2 linked regions of the Tamandua tetradactyla genome follow. The protein of the gene in region 1 purifies or fractionates together with the protein of each later gene. This does not show direct contact. Links are inferred from orthologs where the notes say so. Each region holds a gene or a part of one and is shown on either strand. Other genes may lie near its edges. The genes, in order: tumor necrosis factor receptor superfamily member 10B-like and CFLAR.

The links.
Region 2: the proteins of tumor necrosis factor receptor superfamily member 10B-like (region 1) and CFLAR purify together in Homo sapiens (affinity purification with western blotting, with the first as the bait; 5 studies listed by BioGRID). This does not show direct contact. The link is inferred for Tamandua tetradactyla from reciprocal best matches to the Homo sapiens genes TNFRSF10B and CFLAR.

Annotation. Positions count from the first base shown.
Region 1 is NC_135329.1:23,965,959-23,977,636, forward strand, and holds the start of tumor necrosis factor receptor superfamily member 10B-like, read right to left. Parts: upstream 5,208-11,678; 5' UTR 4,775-5,207; coding exon 4,637-4,774; intron 1-4,636. UniProt on the Homo sapiens protein: Receptor for the cytotoxic ligand TNFSF10/TRAIL. The adapter molecule FADD recruits caspase-8 to the activated receptor.
Region 2 is NC_135329.1:175,640,061-175,651,855, reverse strand, and holds the start of CFLAR (CASP8 and FADD-like apoptosis regulator), read right to left. Parts: upstream 5,522-11,795; 5' UTR 5,390-5,521; intron 5,052-5,389; exon of another isoform or gene 3,378-5,051; 5' UTR 3,260-3,377; intron 1-3,259. UniProt on the Homo sapiens protein: Apoptosis regulator protein which may function as a crucial link between cell survival and cell death pathways in mammalian cells. Acts as an inhibitor of TNFRSF6 mediated apoptosis.

The sequences.
Region 1 (11,678 bases):
CCTTGTCTCTAGGACACTTCTGGTTGATGGGGAAGCTGAGGTATAGACAACCCCTCAGGTTGACCCTGGACGGCCTGTCCTGGTGGCAGGGACACTGGTGGACATAGAAGGAAAATTCCACACAGACGAAACCATGGCCAGATGAAGTAAAAGGGGGGAGGGGGGTAAGAAAAAGGAAGGGACGAAGAGCTGGAGTTTGTGGTTGTCTCTGATGGAGCCCGAGTTGAGTCATGTGTGTGTGTGTGCACGTGTGTGTGTGTGTGTGTGTGTGTGTGTGTGCACACACGCGCGCAGGGGCAGGGAGGGTGCGGGGAGGAAAGGAAAGGGAAAGGGAAAGAGAAAGAGAGAGCAGCGAACAGCACGACAAAGTGAAGAACGGGGAGGGAGGTTACACTTCTTGGCCTACGTAAAGCCTCCTGATCCGGGCCCTCCAACCAGAGGTGGGGCAATAACTGAGGGGAATTCCTGTACTTGCTCCTCCCCCACAAATGATGCAAGAGTTGGACAGTGTCTGACCCATGTACTTGCTACTTATTTCCTGAAAGGCAATGCAACTGAGTAGTAGTCCTGTGCCCTCTTCAGGCCAAGCACAACCTGAAAGCTGCCCCATTTATCTTTCTTTTTTTTTTTTTTTTGGCATGGGCAGGCTCCAGGAATCGAACCCAGGTCTCTTGCATGGAAGAGGAGAGCATTCTACCACTGAGCCACCCGTGCACACCCTGCCCCATTAATCTTTAACTGAGTAGACTAAAAGACAATGACATCACTGTCAGTCTTGCTCTCAAGGTCTTCTTTTCTGTGGCCCCGAGATCTTCTTCAGAGGATTCTGCTTATTAGTTTGTTTATGAAAGAGTAGTAAAAAAAAGAACACTGGATTAAAAATCAAGCCATCTGACCTCAATTTGGGTCAGCCACTGAACAGTTAAATGATCTGGGGTCAATCACTTCCTTTCCTCCTAAATTCTTGTTTATTTTTCTTGAAATAAGGGGGCTTATTTCAAGCCCTTCACACAAAAGCATTTATTTAAGGATTAAATAAATCCCTTGGGGTGCGCCCAGCAGTCAGTCTGTACTGGCTGAGTGCAAGCCTCTCCTGGCGCTGCCTGCAGCCCTGCTCACCACCCCTGCCCAGCCCTCCACCAAACAGCTAAGTGCCCTTCAGCAACTTCCTGAATTTTCTCTTACTCATCGGAAAACAAGGGTCATAACAGTCCTTACAGTCAGGTTGTTTTAAGAATCAAATCAGATAACACGTATGTAAGTGTTATAACCAGAGCTTCCCATACACAGTGAAGTGCTACAGCTAAGCACGTGCTGTCATTAGTACAATAACCACCCATAACGCAGACTGTAATCTCCCAGGAAAAATCTGGACCACATTCTCCAGGGCAGCAATACCACAAACCACATGGCCTTACTCCAGTCAGAGTCAAAACATGGAGGAATGACAGCTCCGGCCACCGTTGCAACCCCTCGGGGTCTCCCGCCTCCCTCATGCTACCTGATTTTAGATATTTTGGTCCCTGGTCTCAACTTCTCAACCAGATCATATGCTCCAGGGAGCAGGATTCACAGAGGGTTCAATTTTTCCCTCCTCCAAGGTGCAGTCTTGACTTTCCAGTGCGAAGTGCCTATTAATTACATCATGAGTGAATGAGGAGGTGAGCCTACTGATGGCCAGGCTCAGTGCCTAAAGAGTTCACAAGCTGCAGCACAGGAGGGGACCACAAGAGTGAAGGTACCCTCCAGTCTTTGGCTGAGGGCTGATCTGTGCCTATGGGCGCAAACTACCCTTGGGGGAGAAGAGAAGCATCCAAAATCAGGAGGCCGGACAGTTAGCAAAGCTCACCGGGCTGTGGATTTGTCATGTTCCATCTGACTGAGCAGAAAGACCTAACACAGAGGATACTAGGTAGAGTTTTAAGAAATTAACTAATACAATCTTTCAGTCACAAAATAGGCAATGTAGACAAGACAAAGTTTAAGAGCTATCCTTGGAAGGATCAAATCGACACTCAACTTTCTTAATCACCAAAATAATATCCAGCACCTTAAAGGAGCACAACAAAATCTAATGTCCAAGAATGTAAAATTCACATTTAATAAAAAAATTACCAGGCACGGAAAGGAGGAAAATATCCCCCAATGGCAAAAAAAATTTTTTTAAGAAAAGTAAAAATCAATCAATAGATCCAGTCCAGACTATGACAGTCGGGGATGATGGAACTGATGGTCTTAAACAGTCTTTATTAATCTTATCAATATGCTAAAGATGTGAAGGTAAACAAGAACATGACAAGAATAGAGATGGAAGATACTGAAAAGCCCCAAATGGAACTTCTTAGAGATTAAAAGTACACAGTATATGAAATGAAAAATAAAATGGATGGGATTAACAGCCAATCAGACACCACATAACACCAATGAACGTGAAGACAGAGCAACAGGGATTATTCAAAATGAAACCCAGAGAGAAAACAACTGAGAAAAAAATGAACAGATCTTTCAGTGAGCTCTGAGACAACATGCAGCATTTTAACCTAAGTGTAATTAAGACCCAGGAAGGCTAGAGGGGGCACACACATATCTGAGGAACTAATAGCCAAAAAATTTCCAACGCGGGAATAAACTCTAAATCTATAGGTCCAAGAAATTCATCAAACCCCAAGCAAAAGGAATCATACAGCATTAAATAAACGGATTTTTTTTTTACCCAAGTCAACCCTGACAGTGTGATTTGCCCTCCCACACAAGCTCACACATCCGCCACAGTGGCTCCCAGATCTCAACGTTGAACACATGAAGAAGCTATGGCTGCACCAGGGTCACAAAGTTGGAAAGGGGCAAAGTAGGGCCCAACTGGCTCCAGCCGCCAAGGTCAAGATCTTTTACAGCCTGTCGGAACTTCTAAAGTCAAGAAGTAAGCTCAGTGCTAGGCCTCATCTGATACAATCGTTTTTACAGCCCAAGGACTGTTATCTTCATGTTACAGGCGTGGCTGGGTGGCAGTCAAGCCTCAGCTGACAAAGTTTTCAAGTGCAGAGCTGAGATTCCAATCCTCTGTCACCCTCCCCTGCTAACAGTGTGATGTCTCCTAGCTGATTTGCTTCCAGTCTCAAAACACATATAGGTCCTTGAAAATCTCTAGTAGGATGGAAGAAACAAAAACACAACACTGGGATGCACCATTTTTTACCTCTCAGACTAGTAGAGAATGAAAATTCACTTGTATACACTTGATGACAGTGTACTGGAGAACAATTTGGCAACATCTAAACAAACTTCGAAGATAATTTAACCCGCATACTGAGCAATTATACTTCTAAAGACTTAAACCATTGACAGGAACACGTCAGTACATACAAGGATATCTGCAGTAATGCTGCTGGAATTTGCAAAAATGAAAAGAAAAAAAAGGATATCATCTAAACAGCTATCCATAGGAGAGAACGGTAAAATAAACTGTGCTTCACCCATACTTGCTTACACATGCAATAAAATACTATGCTTTAAAAAAAAAATAAAAAGAGGAAAAGAAATCTGAAGGTATGACATAGAAGAGCAGATGTAATTTTTTCTTGCTTCAGAATTAAGAAAAAATATATAATTGTGCCCGTAAATGCACAGAGAAAGGCAAAACTTATGGGTTGCTGGAGGGGGCTTTGGAATGCCAGAAGGCCTAGGTCTCACATTCCCAAATTCATCAAATTCAGATTTTTTATCTTTGCCACACAGGTTATCCTTCCAATCCAATCTGGAGACAAAATAGACTAAAACTATTCACAAGCTACAGGAAATCTGGGTCTTACCTAATCTAAACTGATAGCTTGAAAACAAAGTCTGTGGTTACATGTGAATACAGAAATGCTATTATTTTTCTAAATTGTTTTTATTTGCTAAATGAAAAAACAATTTCATGATTCTTGTAACCTTGTTTTGGCAATTATTTATTATTATTTTTTAAACTCGATCAATTTCAAATATGTAATTGGCCAGACCTTGGCCAAGTTAACCTAAAAAGATACTCGAAGTTTACACAATTCTTCCCCACGAGTTTCTCAGAACGCTCAGCACTGCATGGCTCAGTCAGATCAACAGCGTCACACCCTGGCTTCCAGAACATGCGATCGCTGGTCGCTTCAAAAGAGTCCCGCACAAGTTTATATCAAGAAATGATTGGAAGAAAGTCGGGCAACTGTTCAACTTCTGAGCGGCCATCTCAGGAAAAAAGAAAGGTGCGGAAGTCGGCGACGAGAAAGTTACTTTCGCTGGCATTAATTTCACCCATTTTGCAACGAGAGTACTCTTTAGAATTTAAAACATTTATCGAAAAAAGAAAGAAAGAAAGAAAAGAGAATCCTTCTGTCGCTCACTTGCAGGGCACCAGACCCCTTCTCGGTTGGCTCAGGACATGACAAACTTCATTGCTCTCGCCCGGTGGGTTTTGAAATCCGCCACTACAGTCGCTCAGCCCGGCGGCTCGGACCCAGTCCCGCCCTCCACTGCGCCGAAGGCCTCGCCCTGCCCGGGCATGCCCCGCCCGGGGCAGCGGGGCGAGACTCCCGCGGGCCGCCGTGCCACCACCGCCCCATTCCCCCACCCCGTGCCCGCCTTCCCGCTCTGGCGGCTAACTCACCGGGAAGACGGCCAGGAAGAGAAGGCTCAGGAGGCCCCAAGGCGAGGAGTCCCGGAGCCGAAGCCTGGCTCCCGATCCGACCCAGGTCCCGACTCGGGCCCCGGAGGCTTGGCGGGCGCTCTGGCCTCGCGGTGCCATGGCCTTCCGCGGCGCCCCTGGTCGCCGGCGGGTCGCGCGCGGGGTTTAAACTCCGGCGATGTCAATCCGTGTACTTCTCTCAGAGAAGAGCGGTAAGCCGTCTGTCCCAGATCGCGGCGGAGTCTATCTGCGGGAATCCCGCCGGATGCAGCGCTTTTTATAGATTGCGCAACGCCAGCGGGGTGACGAGTCAGGTCGCAATTCCAATCAACAGTTTGCCTTGCGGGCCAATCATGCTGGCACCCTCTCTGCGAGCGCTTCCGGGGGAGAAATATGTGGGGATTAAAGCCTAGCCCCGGGGGTGGGGCATCGGTGGAGGGATTCTCCCGCAGAATCTCCCCACCGCGCCGCGGGTGGGGAGGAGCATTCGGCAACTCGCAGGCACCGTAGTCTCGGCGCTGAACCCGAAGGCGCTCAGGCAGGTCCGGATCCAGCCGCATCTGGCTTTCCCGCGCGTAAACCCTGGAATACTGACCTCCCTCCCTCTGCCTCCCGTCCGTGGCCCCCTCACCTCTGTCCCTCCCCTCCATCCGCGGCCGGGCTTCACTGGATCTTGGTTTCACTGAATCCGGAGTCGCTCACCAAGTTGCTCTGTCCTACCGCGGGGTTTCCCGGAGGGGCCTCGACCTCAGCATTTCAACAGCCGGGTGCCAGGCTCCGAGCAAATGCTCCACGAACAGATGTGTGGACGAAACCGAGAACACACGGGATATGACCTGCAGGATCGGACCAAGATTTCTTTGTCTTGACCAACCTGTAGGACTTGGAGCTGTAGGGCTGCACAGTAAAACTAACAGTATTGCAGAAAAGAAAACAGACAACTTCAGATACTAATTTTACCAAGTTATCAAGCGTATTCCCCTTCCCTCTCACACCACATAGCCCACTGATATTTTTCCATTGTCCTTCCCTCGACCATAAAACTGATCACCACCACTCTGTCTTCCTGGGAGCTGAGTTCTATTCTCTCCCCCCTTCCATGGTAGCTATAAAGTCATCTTTGTCTGTTTAAAATTCTGTGGTGCAATTTTCCTTCGAAGGGTTTGGACTGGGTTCACAGAGGCTTCCACACCCTCTCCCCATCACCACTTTCTGCTTTCTAATAAGACCATGTCAGTCTTCTTTCTTTTGCCCTCAAGGTTTTATGCCAATTAAAATGCCATCCCTACCCTACTGCCTCAGCAGCCCCAGGAACCCAAGCCGGCCTTCTTCGGGATTTTCCTTCCCTGTTGGATTCTTTAAAATCTCCGAGAAGCTGAACCTCTGGGGACTATTCCTCACCTGAAACCGAAGGACTTAGAGAGGGATCCTTGGTCTTGAGGTCCTTCCAGCCGTCCCCGCGTACCCACCTCGGTAGCTAACCTGGGACGCGGTGGAGTCCTGTAAACTCAATGCCTCTTAAATCGAGGTCCTGCCTGCCGGGTGCTCACAGAGCGGTTTAAGGCTGGAGATTAGGTGGGAGGGGAAGGCAATCCCAAGGGCGCCTGCAGCTCCAGGCTTCGTCGCAGTTTTACGGGTCGGGGGCCCACGGACTCTACTTGGCTGGCTCTACTAGGCCAGCGCAGCGGAGAGGGCTTCGCCCGCCAACCCCCAGTCCTGGGTCTGACTCACCGACTGTCTGACCGCGCACAACGCCACACGCCTCGCCTCTCAGGTTTCAGCACAGGGGTGGCGTGAGGATGCGCCCCGCTGTGGAGCAGGGAGGGGCGCTGAGCGCTGGGAACCACTCCATCTGTAGGACACCGCTTTTTAGATCTTTGTACTTAATAACACACACACACACACACAAACATACAATTTCCGGGCTCCCCAAAATGTGGTTCAACGAAAAATTCGACGTGAAACACTACGGAAAAGAAGAAGAGTTTTTCAGCTCAACGAAATACGGGGCCAGAATTGTCTCGAGTCTCCGCCAGGACCAATGGACCCCGGGCGCGCCCCCGGCTCCCGGGAGGGGCGCGGCCGGCAAGAAGGCGCTGCGCGGGCCGGGGTTAGAGGGCAGCTCGGGCAGACGACGACGCGGTGGCGGAGGAACACTTTCCTGGTGATTAAGTGGACCCGCGGGAGGGGAATTAGTATCACCCTAGCACGCTTGACCCTCGAGGGCGGAGTTAGGGATGCTCTGCGGGGCGCCTCCACCTGCGCCAGGTAGAGTCGGTGCCCAGCGAGTAGCACGCGCAGTGCATTGTCCGGGGACCCTGCCCTGGGCTATGCGCTGCGGTCCGGAGGAGCTCGCGTGCCCGCCACGGTGAAGAAGACGCACCGTCCGCAACCCCGACGTCTTTCTCGGAGCCCGGGCTCTGGGCTAGAGACTTCGCGCGCATCTTTACAGTCTCCTGGTGACGAACGGGCGCGTGTCAATTTTAAACATAATCAAATTTACCTAGAACTATGAAATTTGGGGGTCCTCATGATTCCCTTATCCGTGCTCCCGAGATAACCTGTTAAACTCTTTCGGGATGTTCCCTCAGAATTCCCTGTATGCATGCAATATGTTTCAGAAAAGAATAGATTTGCACTCTTTGACCTTCTGAACATTGGAGCTTTTTACACTTAAGTTATACCTTGATTATCTTTCCTTTTACGTCCTTGGAAATGGATTCCCCGCTTCTTTTTCTTTCTTTCTTTTCTTTTTTTCCAAATTTTTTTAAATGACAAACCAAAACAACGTACAAACATTCTATACATGGTGTACAATCAATGACTCACAATAGCATCACATAGTTGTATATTCATCACCAGGATCATTTTTTAGAATATTTGCATCACTCTAGAAAAAGAAAAAAGAAAAAAAAAAAAACCTCATACATCACTCCTCCTACTCACTGACCACTAGTATTTCCACCTACCCAATTTATTTTAACCTTTGTTCCCTCTATTTTTTCCTATACTCCTTACCACTCCCTTTCATTGATCACTAGTATTTCAATCTACTCAATTTATTTTAACATTTCCCCCCATTATTCATTTATTTTTAAGACATATTCTTTACTCATCTGGCCATACCATAGATAAAAGGACCATCAGACACAAGGTTTTCACAATCACACAGTCACTTGTGAAAGCTATATCTTGATACCATCATCTTCAAGAAACATGGCCACTGGAACAGAGTTCTACAGTAAACTAAAAAGGGGATAGCTATATAATGCATAAGAATAACCTGCAGGATAACCTCTCAACTCTGTTTGAGACCTCTCAGCCACTGACAAACTTGTCTCATTTCTCTCTTCCCCCTTTCGGTTGAGAAGGTTTTCTCAATTCCTTGATGCTGAGTCCCAGCTCATTCTAGGATTTCTGTCACACGTTGCCAGGGAGGTCCACACCCCTGGATCCCCCTCTTTTTTAACACTTGCACAGAATTTCCTCGGAGCTGGGGGTGAGCTGAGAATTACTGAGAGGCTGGTGTGAAGACTGTATGAGGGGAATTTGGTGGAGAGCTGGTCATTTGGTCGGGGGACTAAAGTTCTCCAATTCCTGGCTCTGTTCCTGCAGGCAGAATGCCTCACGGACCCTTTTCCTGTCCCTGAAAAGTGCCCAGGATGGCCTGCTGCCTGGGAAGGGGCAGGTAAGGATGGACTGGCAGCAGAGTGGCGAGAGGGGCTTCCAGCCCATTGTTCAGCCAGGAGAGATGGCATTCCTAGACTGTTTCACAATCTCAGAATAGATGTAATTTTACAATTCTCTTATGATTCCAGGTACTTCTCCTATCCTGAAGATTATCTTTCCCAACTCAGAATTGTGCAGAAGCCAATACAGGAAGTAGAGAATCTGAATTGAAAACCACACTACCCTAAAGAAACCTTGAATTGCAGAAAAAAAAAGAAATGGTTCAATTTTAGTTTACAAAATGTAAATACTTAGAGAGTAAGATAGGCAGGTTGTCACTTTTTGCCCAGGCATTTAAAAATAAGTATTTGTTAATTAATGACCAACTTACCATGACTTAAAAAGATGATTTTATGAGCAATGAATCATGTTTTCTATCGGGAAGTCTACAGTTTTAGGACTTTAATTACCAGTACATATGAATGGTCTGATAAATTTACTTTTTTTTCCCCTGCAATTTATAAAATTAAGGTTCTCTCTGATAGAATGTTTGAAGTATGGTAAACAGACATCTCTTTCTTCTGTCCTCCCTCCCCTGTTTCCAGGTTCAAAGACATATGTCTAAGTCACCTTTGATTATTCCATATCCATTGTCAGAGCAATGCAGGTGCCAAATACTGTCCATCCCACACCACAGAGCTTCTTTTATTTCCCTTTACCTTTCATTTCATCTGCCAGTATCTGGGCGAGGCCTCCAATATCTGTGGCTGCTGCCACCATTTGCATATTGTTGTCCCTGGTCCCTCCACTCCACTGAACAGTACTCTGGGACACAATCAGCTCCAGGAGAAGGAACTTGCTGTATGACACTCACAGAAAAATGAGAGTTCTGCCATTGGGTGAGTCCATGAGGCTGGGCTTTGAATCTGTCGTGGTTTGAAGCTGTATGTACCCCAGAAAAACATGTTCTTTATTCTAGTCCATTCCTAGTTTATAAACCCATTATAAGTAGGATCTTCTGATGAGGCTGCTTCAGTTAAGATGTGACCCACATTATACAGGATGAGACTCAATCCTCCTACTGGACTCCTTTATAAATAGGTTGAATACAGAGAGACAGAGAAAACCACGGAAGCAAGAAGCTGAAATCAACAAAACTCGGAAGAGAAGGGGAATCAGCAGACGCTGCTGTGTGCCTTGCCATGTGGCAAAGGAGGTAAGAATTGCTGGCAGCCAGTCATCCGGAAGGAAGCACCGCCTTGCTGATGCCTTGATTTGGACATTTTCTTGGCCTCAGAACTGAAGGCCAATAAATTTCCATTGTTCAAGTCAAGTCATTTCATAGTATTTTCTTTAAGCAGTCTAGGAAACTTATCCTATAAGCTGTATCAGAAAAAAAAAAGCTGTATCAGAATGTTAGTGATGCTCTTATTAACATATTTTGTGTTTGAAGATACAAAATTTTTAGATAGAAGAAACTTTACATACCTTTCTCCATTCACACAAACATACAGTCCATAGATCAACCTAGAATAATAAGACCTGTGGGTCGTAGGGCAGTGAGCCTCGTCAGTGGCACTGAAACTCACCAAAAGGGTTAGCCTAGGGCCCTGTGTGCTGGGCACCCAGACATGGGGTCAGCCTTACAGGCCATCTCTCTGTGCCCAACCATGTGCCAGAGCCGAGGACAACCTCCTGCTCTCGGGAGGCTGCCAGGAGCAACAGACTGAAAACTAAGAGTTAAATAGGTTGCATTGAGAGTAGTGCTATGTGGAAGGATGATGTCTGGGTTTTATCTATTGCGGAACAACCTCTCCTCCCCGCTTTCCATCTTTCCCCCTCCACCAGTCCTCTTGGATAGAGCACCTATTCATCCTTGACTTTTAACCTCCTGCTCTCGGGAGGCTGCCAGGAGCAACAGACTGAAAACTAAGAGTTAAATAGGTTGCATTGAGAGTAGTGCTATGTGGAAGGATGATGTCTGGGTTTTATCTATTGCGGAACAACCTCTCCTCCCCGCTTTCCATCTTTCCCCCTCCACCAGTCCTCTTGGATAGAGCACCTATTCATCCTTGACTTTTAACCTCCTGCTCTCGGGAGGCTGCCAGGAGCAACAGACTGAAAACTAAGAGTTAAATAGGTTGCATTGAGAGTAGTGCTATGTGGAAGGATGATGTCTGGGTTTTATCTATTGCGGCACAACCTCTCCTCCCCACTTTCCATCTTTCCCCCTCCACCAGTCCTCTTGGATAGAGCACCTATTCATCCTTGACTTTTAAGTCCCTCACCACGTTTTTCCAAGTATCTATTTTGCTCTTAGCTAGAAAAAGAGAATAAACAAATAAAGGAGGCTCATTGCCCAGTTTCCTTTCTGGACATTGAGGCTGTATGAACAATACACTTACTGTTTTTTTTTTCAAAGTCTCTGAATAAGTATGGTTTCCTGCTTACAAATTCATGTCCAGAACATAAGAAAATGCTTTTCTGTTGGCTCCATTTAATAAGTGAAAACATCGTCAGGTGCTTTGAGCTCAAGACTAACTTACTGAAACTCCGTGCCTGTGTCCTACAAAGGCCTTTAGCACCCAGGTTCTGCAAGGCCCCACCTTGCTCCCCAACAAAGCCTGCAGACCCCAGTGGGAGATCTGGACCAGGTTCCGTTTCTTGGTTTAGATGATGTAAGGTGGAAGCATTTGCAATTCTTGTATAACAGCCAAAAGTGAAGACTGGAAATTGTTTTTTCTTTTTTGGAATAAAGCAAAGCAGTCTCAGGGGATAGTGAAAATGTTAATAGCTTGTTACTGTTTACTTCTAAAGCATAATATGAGGACTTATTAAAGTTATGGATTTTAGGGTGCCTAGTATATAGTAAGATTGAATAAATTTGTTTATTGTTGAATAACACCAAATACTGTAAATCAGTAAGTCAAGGAGTGACTGCTCCTTCTGGAATCTGGCTGGAATTTCCCTTTCATGAATGGGTGTGTCTCAAGATCTAAAAAAGTTTATCCTCCTGTTGCAGAAGTGTTTGCTTTTAAGTATTTTATTTTTTATGAGAAATATTTAGTACTAAATAGACATCTCTTACAGAATGGGCAGAACATTTTATATCTTTTTATTGTTGTTTTTTTTCCTTTTTTTTTTCTTTACATGGGAAGTCACCGGGAACATTTTATATCTTTAAATAATGTTTTTCATAAAATATTATGACCAATTCTGAGTCTCAGGCTTCCTGTCATCTAGGCTATCCTGAGCTGTGGTGTTAGAGTATATTCCTAAGATACCTTATTTTAAGGCAATGCATCTACACAATGTATGTGGTAGAGATATTTGGGGTGGGATAGGGGCATCAATC
Region 2 (11,795 bases), about 150 Mb from region 1:
AACAAATGAGTAAAACACATGGATTAAAAATAAATAAATAACAGGGAGAACAAATGCTAAAATAAAATGAGTAGATTGAAATACTATTGATTAATGAAAAGGAGTGGTAAGGGGTCTAGAAAAAAAATAGGGGAAGAAAGGTTAAAATATGTTGGGTAGATGGAAATACTAGTGGTCAATGAGAGGTATGGTATGTATGAGTTTTTTCTTTTTTCTTTTTATTTGTTTTTCTGAAGTGATACAAATGTTCTAAGAAATTATCATGGTGATGAATATATAACCATCTGATAATATTGTGAGTCATTGATTATATACCAAGAATGGAATGTTCATATGTTAAGAATGTTAGTGTTTGTATGTTGTTATGTTTTGCCAATTAAAAAAAGAAGAAGTAAATTAGTTTTCTCAGGTCACACACACACATTTTCAAATGCTGTATTCAGTGCATTTCAATCAAGTTTCAATAAAGAAGAATGGAAGAAAACATGAAATTATAATAAGGATGTTAACTATTATATTCTGTGTTCTCTGAAATCATTGTATTTGAGTTATATATTGATCTACATTTTGCCCAAAGTATCTAATCAAAATATTTCTTGGGTTTTCCAAAAAAATCTAAATACGTCTTGAGTTTTCAATTCAAATGATGTGTAATCATATTCCCATATTAAAGCATAAAATAAGTTAGGAAGCCTTTTAAAAATATTAAACTCAAATAAATAGAATTTCATCATATGATCAAAAAAAAAAAGAAAAGAAAAATTCCATTTGCTTCAGCACCATCATCATTCATCATCATTTCTGGCACCTGTGTACTTGTTCCCATCTTCTTATATCCTACCTGGCTCCTCCTCCAAGTTTCCTTGATATTCCTGGTGACCACTCAGGCTATAAGGGCAGACTTGTTCCACATTTAGCATGAATAATGTTTTGACAAAGGTTAAGCAGAAAAACTGATTTACATTCTCTATGGTGCAGTTTTATACAATACATCCCTGTGCCACCACAACATTTTACTAACAGGTCTACCATGACACTGAAAGAACAGCCTTCTAATTGGCTGCCAGATCAAAACAACCCAGCTATGGGTTAGAATAGAATCCAAGTCAAGTATTGAAATCGAGCTCTGGGATCCCAATAGCACACCATGGGTAAGTTTTTGAGCCTATCTATTGTTGCTTTTCCGCCATTCCCAACTAGAGCTGGAGCTCCAGACAGCAGGAGAAGATCTTCTATGTGCCCCCATTCCCTAGCACTAGGAGGTACTTAGTAAATGCTGAATGGGCGACTGAATTTTGATTACACTGAAAAGGGTGTTTGCTGATTGTTGCAGGGTATTTGGTTCACTCACAGGATAGTATTCAAGTGATAGATTTATCAAAACTATTTTGTAAGCTTCAAGTAAAATGGAAAAAAAAAAACCCAAAAGACCAAAAAGAGGTTCAAAAAAAGACTCAAGATTTTCAAAAGTGGAAAAGTCTTTGGTTCTCATTTGTAATATCAGAAAAGAGAAGTAAGCCATGAGTCTGAAAAACATTGTATACCTTGGAGCAAGTTGCTACAAGAGGATTTTTCAATTAAAACTGAGGTATACGGATACAGATACAAATATAATAGGTATATATTATATATATATAATATAGGTATAATATGAAAATATATAGGTACCTAGATATAAATGATAGATTCATTTCTCCAATTGAAGAGTTCACCATAGAACACAGAAACTATCTTGGATATGCAGATAAATATGATATCAAATTAAGGGAGCTTTGTTCTTTCATGGTAAGTTCTTTCATGGTAAGTTCTTTCATAATAAGTACTGAATTACCAAAGATAAGAAACTAATATCTAAACTATCAAAGAAGCTGTTGGTCTGTTTTGACTAAAAATTTAAATGTCCAAATAAAGTGGCTAGAAGTAGAAAAGGAAGAAATTTTATCTAGAAAGAATATATTCAAGGTGATACATATATATCATATATATATACGCACACATACATACATACATACATACAAGTATATAAACTCATATATGCATGGCATCAAAGAAGAAATTCTTTCTCTAAATCTACAGCAGTTTAGGGAGGAAAAATAATCAACTCAGGATGTCTGAACAAGCTGATGAATTAAATGTAAATTGAGGATATATGCATTCTAAAAAACAAAAAACAGTCATTAGAAAAACCAATCTTCCATTAGAACACTGACAGCACAGGGAATTGAGTTACATGTGGGAAAAACAGCAGTATTAATAGAAAAAACATCAGTTCTGAAACACAGTTTGGAGAAACAGCAACACAAGAAACAAGAGGAAAAAATTAACAATAATAATAACATATGCATATATTTTTTAAAGCACTGAATTTGAGCGCACAAATGTCTGTAAAAGACATTAAATTGCAACCTCTGGTTATCTGTAGGGAATGGACTCCTGAGAGCTTCCTCTACTTACTTTCCATGTATTTTAAACCAGATAATTATATTACAGATTGACTGAAAAAAAGCTTTTTGAAGAAAAAATATAATACAGAGTGGTAAATGGAATGCTGTAGTTAAGTAGAAAGAGCCACTGAGTATGTGAAGCCTTCCTAGAGGAGGTGACAGGAGTTGAATTTAAAAGAGATATAGGGCATATTACAATAATAGTAGTTTTACTCATCTCACTGATCTATAAGTAAAACAAAACTGCATGTGAACACACCTGCCTTCTGTGACCTGTCATTACTCCCCTACCCAGATGAAAATGTCTTCCTCCTCTGCCAGGTTTAGCAAGCCCTGGCCCTGATTACAGATTACCTTTACTCTATTACCTCCAACAGAACTTGTCAGTTTCTGGAGGTAGGAACCAAGTTCAGATCCATTTTTAATGTCCCCAGCACCCAGAACTCAGCCAGGCCTCAAAAAGCTCAAAAAAATATTCATAGGGTTATAGTGAATTAAAGGCAGGGAAGCGTTAAAGTCCATCAACACAAGTTTAATTAGTCCTTGGGACTCTACAAGGAAGAAATAATCAGACTTCAAGGGCGAGGCTGTCTCCAAATGGAGTCCATTCCTGGCATTTAAAAGACTGGCACGTCTGTAGACTCAGGGTGCTGGGAGAGGGCCCAGAAGGCTCAGGGGTGGTTCGAAGGGCTGTAAGCATAAACTCAATTCTTTTGCGCACGGGACTGACAGTTCCCCGACGTCCCCGGAGTTCAGGGGCTGATCCGCAGAGGGACTGGAGTCAAAAGAAAAAGGGGAGGGCAAGGTTCTCCCACCTATTCACGCCGGCGCAGCCACCGGCTCTTCCCACGGTATCTCGGCCGGGAAATAGATCTCGTCGGACACTCTAGATCTGCCTCTCCGGATTGTGGCCGCTCCCAATGGGACGAGGACCTGGAGGAAAGCGTCCCAGGCGTTCCAGGGGTGACCGCCAGGCCAGCGTCCCCGACCTCTGTCTGGCACATCCACTATGCGCCTCCTCCACGACAGATGACGACTAGAAAAATTGAATCCGGGGAGTGCCCTGTCCCTGCAACTTAGAAGCTTTCGCAAGGCCCCGTGCGTGTTTTTCTGTGGTAAAACGGCCATTACGCTGGGGAAACCGCCCACGCGGCGCTGGGGGAGTTACTAACCGCCCCCGGTCGCGGCAGCACCTCACCAGCCCCAGGGGGCAGCGGAGGGGCGGGGGACGCCCAGGAGACCTACTCTGGCTTAGCTTCCAAGAGGTCCCAGGGGCTCCAGCTCAAAAAAAAAACTGCCTGCGAACCCCCGTCGCAGAAGATTCTTGGGGGCAGAGGGACATCCAGACCCTGAGGCTCGGCTGGTGAACTGAGCTCGGGAGAGGGTTTAAGGACGTTAACGCTGTGTTAAAGGAATTGCAAATGTCAGTTACAAACAGAAATATAAAGCATAATGTTGTTAGAAAAAGCCATTTTAATCAGGACACCCCAGCCAGAATCTACAAGTAAAACAAGTGTTAAATCTGACGACATTAAAACAAGGAAGTTTTCGGTATGAGAACAAACTCAAGATTCCTTTCCAACCCTGCCTCTTCTATTGTTTGGTTGTTGTTGCTTTAATTTTGTAACTGAGCCATGTTTTTACTTCCTCCGAAGGAAAAGATTTCAGGGAACCACCAGGGGGGGGGAAATACCAAAAATTCAATTCCTGTTTATCTGAAATCTCTTATCTAAATGTCTAACTGGGCGGCTCAAGCCCAGCCTTACTTTTAGTAAGACTGTCAGTATCCAAAATTCTTGTCACTTAACTCTAGTATCCAAAATTCTTTTCACTTAACTCGCCTACTACAGGTAGCAAGCTGGAACCACCCCTCTTTGCGTAAGAAAAAATTTCAAATGTCAATAAAAGCATTCTGGTAGGCTTTAGCGTCCTTGAACTACTTCCTGCTTTGAACAACCAACTTATTCATACGTAAGGACCTTTGTTCCATTGCAGTGCTATGTTAATATTTAAAGGAACATGCCGTTCAGAGCAAGTCCAGGCATTGAGCGAAAAAAATCTTGAAATTAATTTACATTTCCCCAAGCCTCTGCGGGGAGGCGAGTGGGGGGGTAGGGTGGGGAGTGGAGGAGTTATTTGGGGGCTTTAAAAGATCTCGTCAGTCAAGCATTCCCAACTTTCCGAAGGCAAGCTTTCCTTGCAATCTGCCAAAACATTCAATTCTGCAGCTGCTTTGAGAAGATAACAGCTCTGACCTACTTCACCAAGTTCTTAAAAAAGAGAAAAAACTCCTGCAAGACCGGATGCTCCTGCTGGGTAAAGTTTATGCACATACAACTGCATAAAGAGTCCTAACGTTTAAATCAACTTTACGAAAGGAAAACTGCGAAATCTTTTTCAACAGTTCGTCCCAGAAAGGCAACAACTCTCAGGCTGATTTTAAGCAAAGTTGGGGACTAGAGAAGATCCCCGGCCTGTTTGCCGCCTCTGGGGCTTCAGGGGGTGGCCAGTGTTAGTCAAGAGCTACTTCCTGGTAGGTCCGGTCTGTCCCGACGCGCCCAGGCGGGATGAGAACGCTGGCAAGCCTTGGGCTGCCTTCTTGGAAACCTGGGTTGGGGAAGAGCGGGGTCAACAGTGAGAGCGGGGGCGGGGGCGCTCCGTCTCGCTGGCGGGGCAAACCCGGGGAGGAACCCAGAGGACACAGTCACCTACCCCAAAGGCCCACCCCTTCTGTGGCCAGGATTGGGCACCCCAGGCCCAGAGCCAAGGCTGGGAAGATCAAGTTGGGGAGAAGCGGCGAAGGGATAGGAGTAGGGTGAGAGGGTACGGCTGAGACGCTGAGAAGGAAACCCAGCGCCGGGTCTCGGAGCCTGGGGAGTGTGGGTCGCTGACTGTGCCAGCCACCTGGCGGGCAGCAGTAGCGGAGTCCAGCGAGGGGTACATACCGTCTTGCCTACAGCCGAGGATCTCCTCCCAGACTTATTCCCCAAGACGCCAAAAGCGCAAGCAAGATGGAGGCAGAGAAACCGAAAGCCTAAAAGCAGACGTGGGCGATTACTATGCTTTGAGCTTCTCTGTCCACACCCCTTCCAGCCGTGTCCTAGCTGCGCATTGGATTTCTGTCAACTTGCACCCTGAAAAAGTTAAAGGCCTCAACTGATGCAGAAAAAGCATTCAAATTGGAATTCTTCCATTAAAAAAAAACACTTAGAAAACTAGGAATGTAATGGAGATTTTTCAGTATGATAAAGGGCATCTATGAAAAAACAATGGTAAAAGACTGAAAGTTTTCCCCCTAAAATCAGGCACAGGGTAAGGATGCCCGCGGTAACCACTGTTAACTCATCATTGTGCTAAAAGCTCTAAACAGGGCAATCAGGTAAACAAAAAAAGACATCCAAATTGTAAAGGAAGAAGTAAAACCATCCCTATTCCCAGGTGACATGATCCTCTATATAGAGAATCTCAGTGAGTCCACATGGAAGCTATAAAACTAATAAGTGAATACAGCAAATTTGCAGGGTACAAGATAAACACACAAAAATTACTGGTGTTTTTATATAACAGTAAGAAAACTACCTGAAAAAGAAATCATGAAAAAATTATGTTTACAATAGTTTCTAAATGAATAACATACCTAGGAATAAATTTAACCAAAGATGTGAAAGTCTTGCATAATGAAAACTAAAAACACTTCTTAAAAAAAGACCTAATTAGGGCGGGCCGCGGTGGCTCAGCGGGCAAAGTGCTTGCCTGCTATGCCGGAGGACCTCGGTTCGATTCCCGGCCCCAGCCCATGTAACAAAAAACGGAGAAACAAAATACAATAAAACAAGAAAGTGTTTAAAGATGTTTCCCTTTCTTCCTTCCTTCCTTCCTTCTATCCTTCCTTCCTTCTCTCTCTGTCTTTCCTTTAAAAAAAAAAAAAAAAAAAAAGACCTAATTAAATGAAAAAAGGCGTGCCTGTGTTCATGGATTGGAAGACAATATTAAGACGTCAATAGTACTAAAGTGATCTACAAATTCAATATAATCCCTATCAAAATTCCAGCAGCCTTTTTTGCACAAATGTAAAAGCAAATCATCAAATTCATTTGGAACTGCAAGGGGACCCAAATAGGCCAAACAATCTTGAAAAAGAAGAAAAAAGTTGGAAGACTCGCACTTCCTGATTTCAAAACTTACGATAAAAATAGTGTAATAAAAAAACAGTGTAGTACTAAGGATAGACATATAGATGAATGGAATAGAATTGAGAGTTCAGAAATAAACCCTCACATCTGTGACAATTGATTTTTCAACAAGGGCACTAAGCCCATTCAATAGGGAAAGAACAGTCTTTGCAACAAACTGTGTTGGGACAATTGGAAATTCATATGCAAAATAATGAATTTGGACCCCTACCACCATATACAAATATTAATTCAAAATGGATCAACAACCTAAATATAAGGACTAAAATTATGAAACTCTTACAAGAAAACATGAAGAAATATCTCCAGAACCTTCTATTAAGCAGTGGATTCTTAGATTTCACACCAAAGCATGGCCCACAAAAGAAAAAATAGATAAATTGGACTTCATCAAGATTAAAACTATTGTGCACCAAGGAATATTACAAATGAAAAAACAACCTACAAAGTGGGAGAAAATATCCAAAGTTATATATCTGATAAAGGCTTAATATCTGCAATATATAAAGAACTCCTATAACTCAACAACAAAAAAGACAAACAACCCAATTTAAAAATGGGCAAAGGATTTGAATAGACATTTCTCTAAAGAAGATACACAAATGACCAATAAGCATATGAAAAGATGCTCAAATCACTAGCCATTAGAGAAATCCAAATGAAAACTGCAATGAGTTAACACCTTATACCCCCTGTTAACTATTATTAAAAAGAAAAAAAGAAGAAGAAAACACTAAGTGTTGGCAAGAATGTGGAGAAATAAGAACCCTCATACATTGTTCTTGGGAAGGTAAAATGGTACAGCTGCTGTGGAAAATTGTTTGATGGTTCCTCAGAAAGTTAAACACAGAACTAGCATATGACCTGGCAATTCCACTTCTAGAGAGCAATTAAAAAGAACTGAAAGGGTAGTGGGACAGTGGCTCAGTGGCAGAATTCTTGCCCGCTGTGCTGTAGATCCAGGTTCAATTCCTAGTGCCTGCCCATGCAAAAAAAAAAGAATTGAAAGCAGGGATCCAAACAGACATTTACATGACGATGTTCGTAGCAGCATTATATATAATACCAAAAGATAGAAGTACTCAATTATCCATCAATGCATGGATGCATAAGCAAATGTATTCATGTATCATTATTATTATTATTATTATTATTCGGCCATAAAAAAATGAACTGATACACACTACAACATGCATGAACATTAAATGCATTGTGTCAAGTGAAATAAGCCAGACCCTATTTCTGTTTGGAAATAGGTAGTTGTGAAAGTTATACAGCATTATCAAGTATGTAATATCACAGAATTGTTCACTTAAAAACAATTAAAATTATTTTTATGTTATGTATATTTACCACAATAAAAATAAAGACCTGATATTCACTGTGTGGGGGTTGAAATACTCTCCTGTGACCCAAACTGCTGTTTCCTTTTGATAGCTTCTGGGACTGGATAGTCTGTGAACCTGGAATGGTTGTTTGAAAGAGTTCTAGGTGGGGTTTTTGTTGTTGTTGTTTAATACTAATGTGTGAAAAAAATAATGATAATAGTAAAAGTGAAAGAGCTTTCTATGTTTTAACCTATTTGTTCCCCAAAATTACTTTCCTGTGATTTTTTAAATTTTCTTAACTTCTCTTGAAATCATTTTAAACTTACAGAAGAATTGCAAACAAAAGCATGTAAAACCTCTAGAAATGGTTCCAAAAGCAAACAGCAAATGAAGAAACATCTAATTATAACTGAGAAATTAAGAATTAACAAACAATTATGATTTTTGAATCAATTTAGATGTTTAACTTTCTATATTGTAGAATAGGCAGAAGTTAATACCTGACATTACTGAAACTCAGCTAGTTTCACCCTTGCTTATGTCTGGCATTATAATGGTCATTCTACCCTGATCTCAGCCTTGTGTATACTTACTATTGCAATGATCATTCTAGCCTGGTGTCAGCCCTGCTTACACTTGATATTATAATGGAAACAACTCTCATCTCCTCTTGCTTGAATCCATAAAACCCAGTCTTGGGGCGGGCCGCGGTGGCTCAGCGGGCAAGAGTGCTTGCCTGCCGTGCCGGAGGACCCCGGTTCGATTCCCGGCCCCAGCCCATGTAAAAAACAAACAAACAAACAAAATATAATAAAACAAGAAAATGTTTAAAAATGTTTCCCTTCCTTCCTTCTCTGTCTTTCCTTCCTTTAAAAAAAAAAAAAAAAAAAAAAAAAAAACCCAGTCTTCCTAGACTCCAGGAGACAGATCCTTGGCCCCTCAGGCCATTTGATCTGCTTCACACGTAACATTAAACGCTCTTTTTTTGAAACTCCAGTGCTATGGCTTGGCTGTTATGGTCATCAGGTTAAGAACCCGCTACCTTTGTTCAGTTATCATATTCAAGAAAATCTGTTAAATTCACTAAGAAATGAGAGTCTCTTGCATTTGAACCAAAACCAATGCCTTCCAGCCCCATTCAGCTTTTGAGACAGAGACTCCCAATTCCAGACTGCTGCAACCAAGAACACAGGGCTCCCACTTCCCCTAGTCCCAGGTCGAAAGTTCCTGGAAGTAGCAAAACATCAGCATTTCTCATCCTGCCCCAATTATTTGTTGCAATTGAAAAGAGGGAACTTCCTTCTTCCACTCAGTCCCCACTGGTTGAACAAAGGTTCTACCTTGAGCCCAGTGCACTAAGATTATGGATCTTAATGTTCCCCATTCATGAGGTGGTGGCTCCATGCCAGGAAAGGCAAGCAAAGGGAACCTCAAGATACTGCTCCTGAGCTCCCTTGACTGAGTGCTCAGCTTCTAGACCAGGGGTGTTACTCCAGAGTAGTTTAACATTGTTCCCACCTCCAGCTCCAGAATCAGATATTGTGCCTGGGGGAGAAGCAGGTCAAAAGACAGATAACTCCTAATCACCTCCCAAAGGAACAGACTTCATTTGTAACAGAGCATGGAGAAGTTCAAGCCTGAAGACACTCTCAAAAACCATGGAGATTGCAATGAAAGACAATTGGAAGTAAATTCAAGATACATGCTAAATAGTAAGCCTCCTAATTTGCAGGAGAGAACCAGGGAATGAGTGAACTGGAAGGAAATCTCCTAGGGTCTTAACAAATATCAAACATTGACTTTAAAAACTGTTCCTTCAAAGTTGCCAGAATTAGATTGGATTGGTTGTAGAGCAATTTATGCCCCAGGGCATTGTTAAAAACATAGAGCAGCATAATAGCTATGTGTGGTCAAGCTAAGAGATGATGGGAGCCCTGCCAGTCATTCGGGGTGACTATAGATAGACCCAAAGCTGTACTTCCCTGAGGAGCAACATCAGAAGTTTAACAACCTGGTGGTGGGGGTGGGGGTGGGGGTGGGGGTGTGGTACAAAGGGATGGAGTAAGCAGGTAATAGACTTCACTAAAATAATCCAACCTGTCACTAAACTAAGAAATAACAATAACGAGCCCTGAAGTGTGGAAGACTAGTACTCAGAGTTACTAAAACATATTATCTAAAATGTCCAGTTTCCAACAAAAAATCATGAGGCATGTAAACAAAACAGGAAAGTATGGCCCATACACTGGAAGAAAAGCAGGCAACAGAGCCACCAGATGTAAGATTCATCAGAAAAAGACTTTCCTAAGTAGCCATTATAAACATGTTCACAGAACAAAAAGAAACCATGATTAAAGATGTAAAGTAAGGTATGATGACAATGTTGCATCAGGTGGAGAATATCAATAAAGAGATAAAAATTATAAAAGAAACCAAATAGAAATTCTGGAGTGAAAAAATACTATAACTGAATGAAAAACTCACTGGAGGAGTGCAACAGTAGATGTGAACTGGCAAAAGAAAGAATAAGTGAATTTAAAGTTAAATCAGAAACTATGCAAGCCAAACACTAGAGAGGAAAAAAAGAATGTAGAAAAATGAAAAGAATCTCAGATATATGTGAGATACCATTAGGCACACCAACATATTTGCAATGGGAGTACCAGAAGGAGAGGAGAGACAGAGAAAGTAGGAGAAAACTTTTCTTATGAGATTCAGGGAAAGTAGTGCTTGCGAGTAACTTATAGCTGTAAATGCCTATTTTAAGAAAGAGGAAAAATCCAAAATCAATAATATAAACTTCCACATTAAAACACTGGAAAAAGAGTAGTAAACAAAAGTGGAAGGGAGGAAATAATGAAGATTAGAGTGGAAATTAATGAAATAGAAAAATAGAGAACAACAGATGAAACCAAAATTAGGTTTATTGTTGAAAAGATCAAAAAAATCGAAAAAATGTTAGCTAAACTAAACAAACAAAAAGAGAGAAGACTCAGATCATTAGAATCAGAAATGAAAGAAATTACATTACTACTAACCTTACAAAAATTAAAATTACAAGAAAATACTAAGAACAATTGTATGTCAGCAAAAGATAACTTCAATGAAATGGACAAACTCCTAGAAAGACACAAACAACCAAAACTAACTTAAGAAGAAATAGACAATCTGAATAGATCTATGAAAGTGAAACAGAATCTGAAAACTAACCACGAAGAAAAGCCCAGGCCTAAATGCCTTCACTGCTGAATCTTATGAAACATATAAAGAAAAATTTATGGCAATTTTTCACAAACTTTTCCAAAAAAAAGAAGACAACATTTTCCAACTAATTTTATGAGATCAATATTATGCTGATAACAAAACCAAAGACATCACAGGAAAAGAATATATCTTTTAGATATATTTTAGACATATATATCTTTTTAGATATATATATCTAAAGAATATATCTTATGAATATGAATGAAAAATCCTTGACAACCATACAGCATACAAAAAAAAAAAATCCTCAACAAATGTCCAGCAACGTATGAAAAGAACTGTTGAACACCATAAATACATGCAACTTTGAATAGGGCATGAGAATTTTTAAGTCTGTCTGGTGTTATATCCCGATAAATCCCAGAGTGATTTGAACAGTGAATTAAAGAAGTATTTGCAAAGTCCCCTTGGGGGAATGGTGAGAAAAGGGGGAAATTTCAACTCTCCCATTTGGAGAATCCCTGGAATATTCTCTCAAGCAGTGGGAACAACCAAAGAAATAGGCCGAGCCCTCAATCTTGGGATTTGTTCATATGAATCTTATTCCCGCAAAGATGATAGGCTAA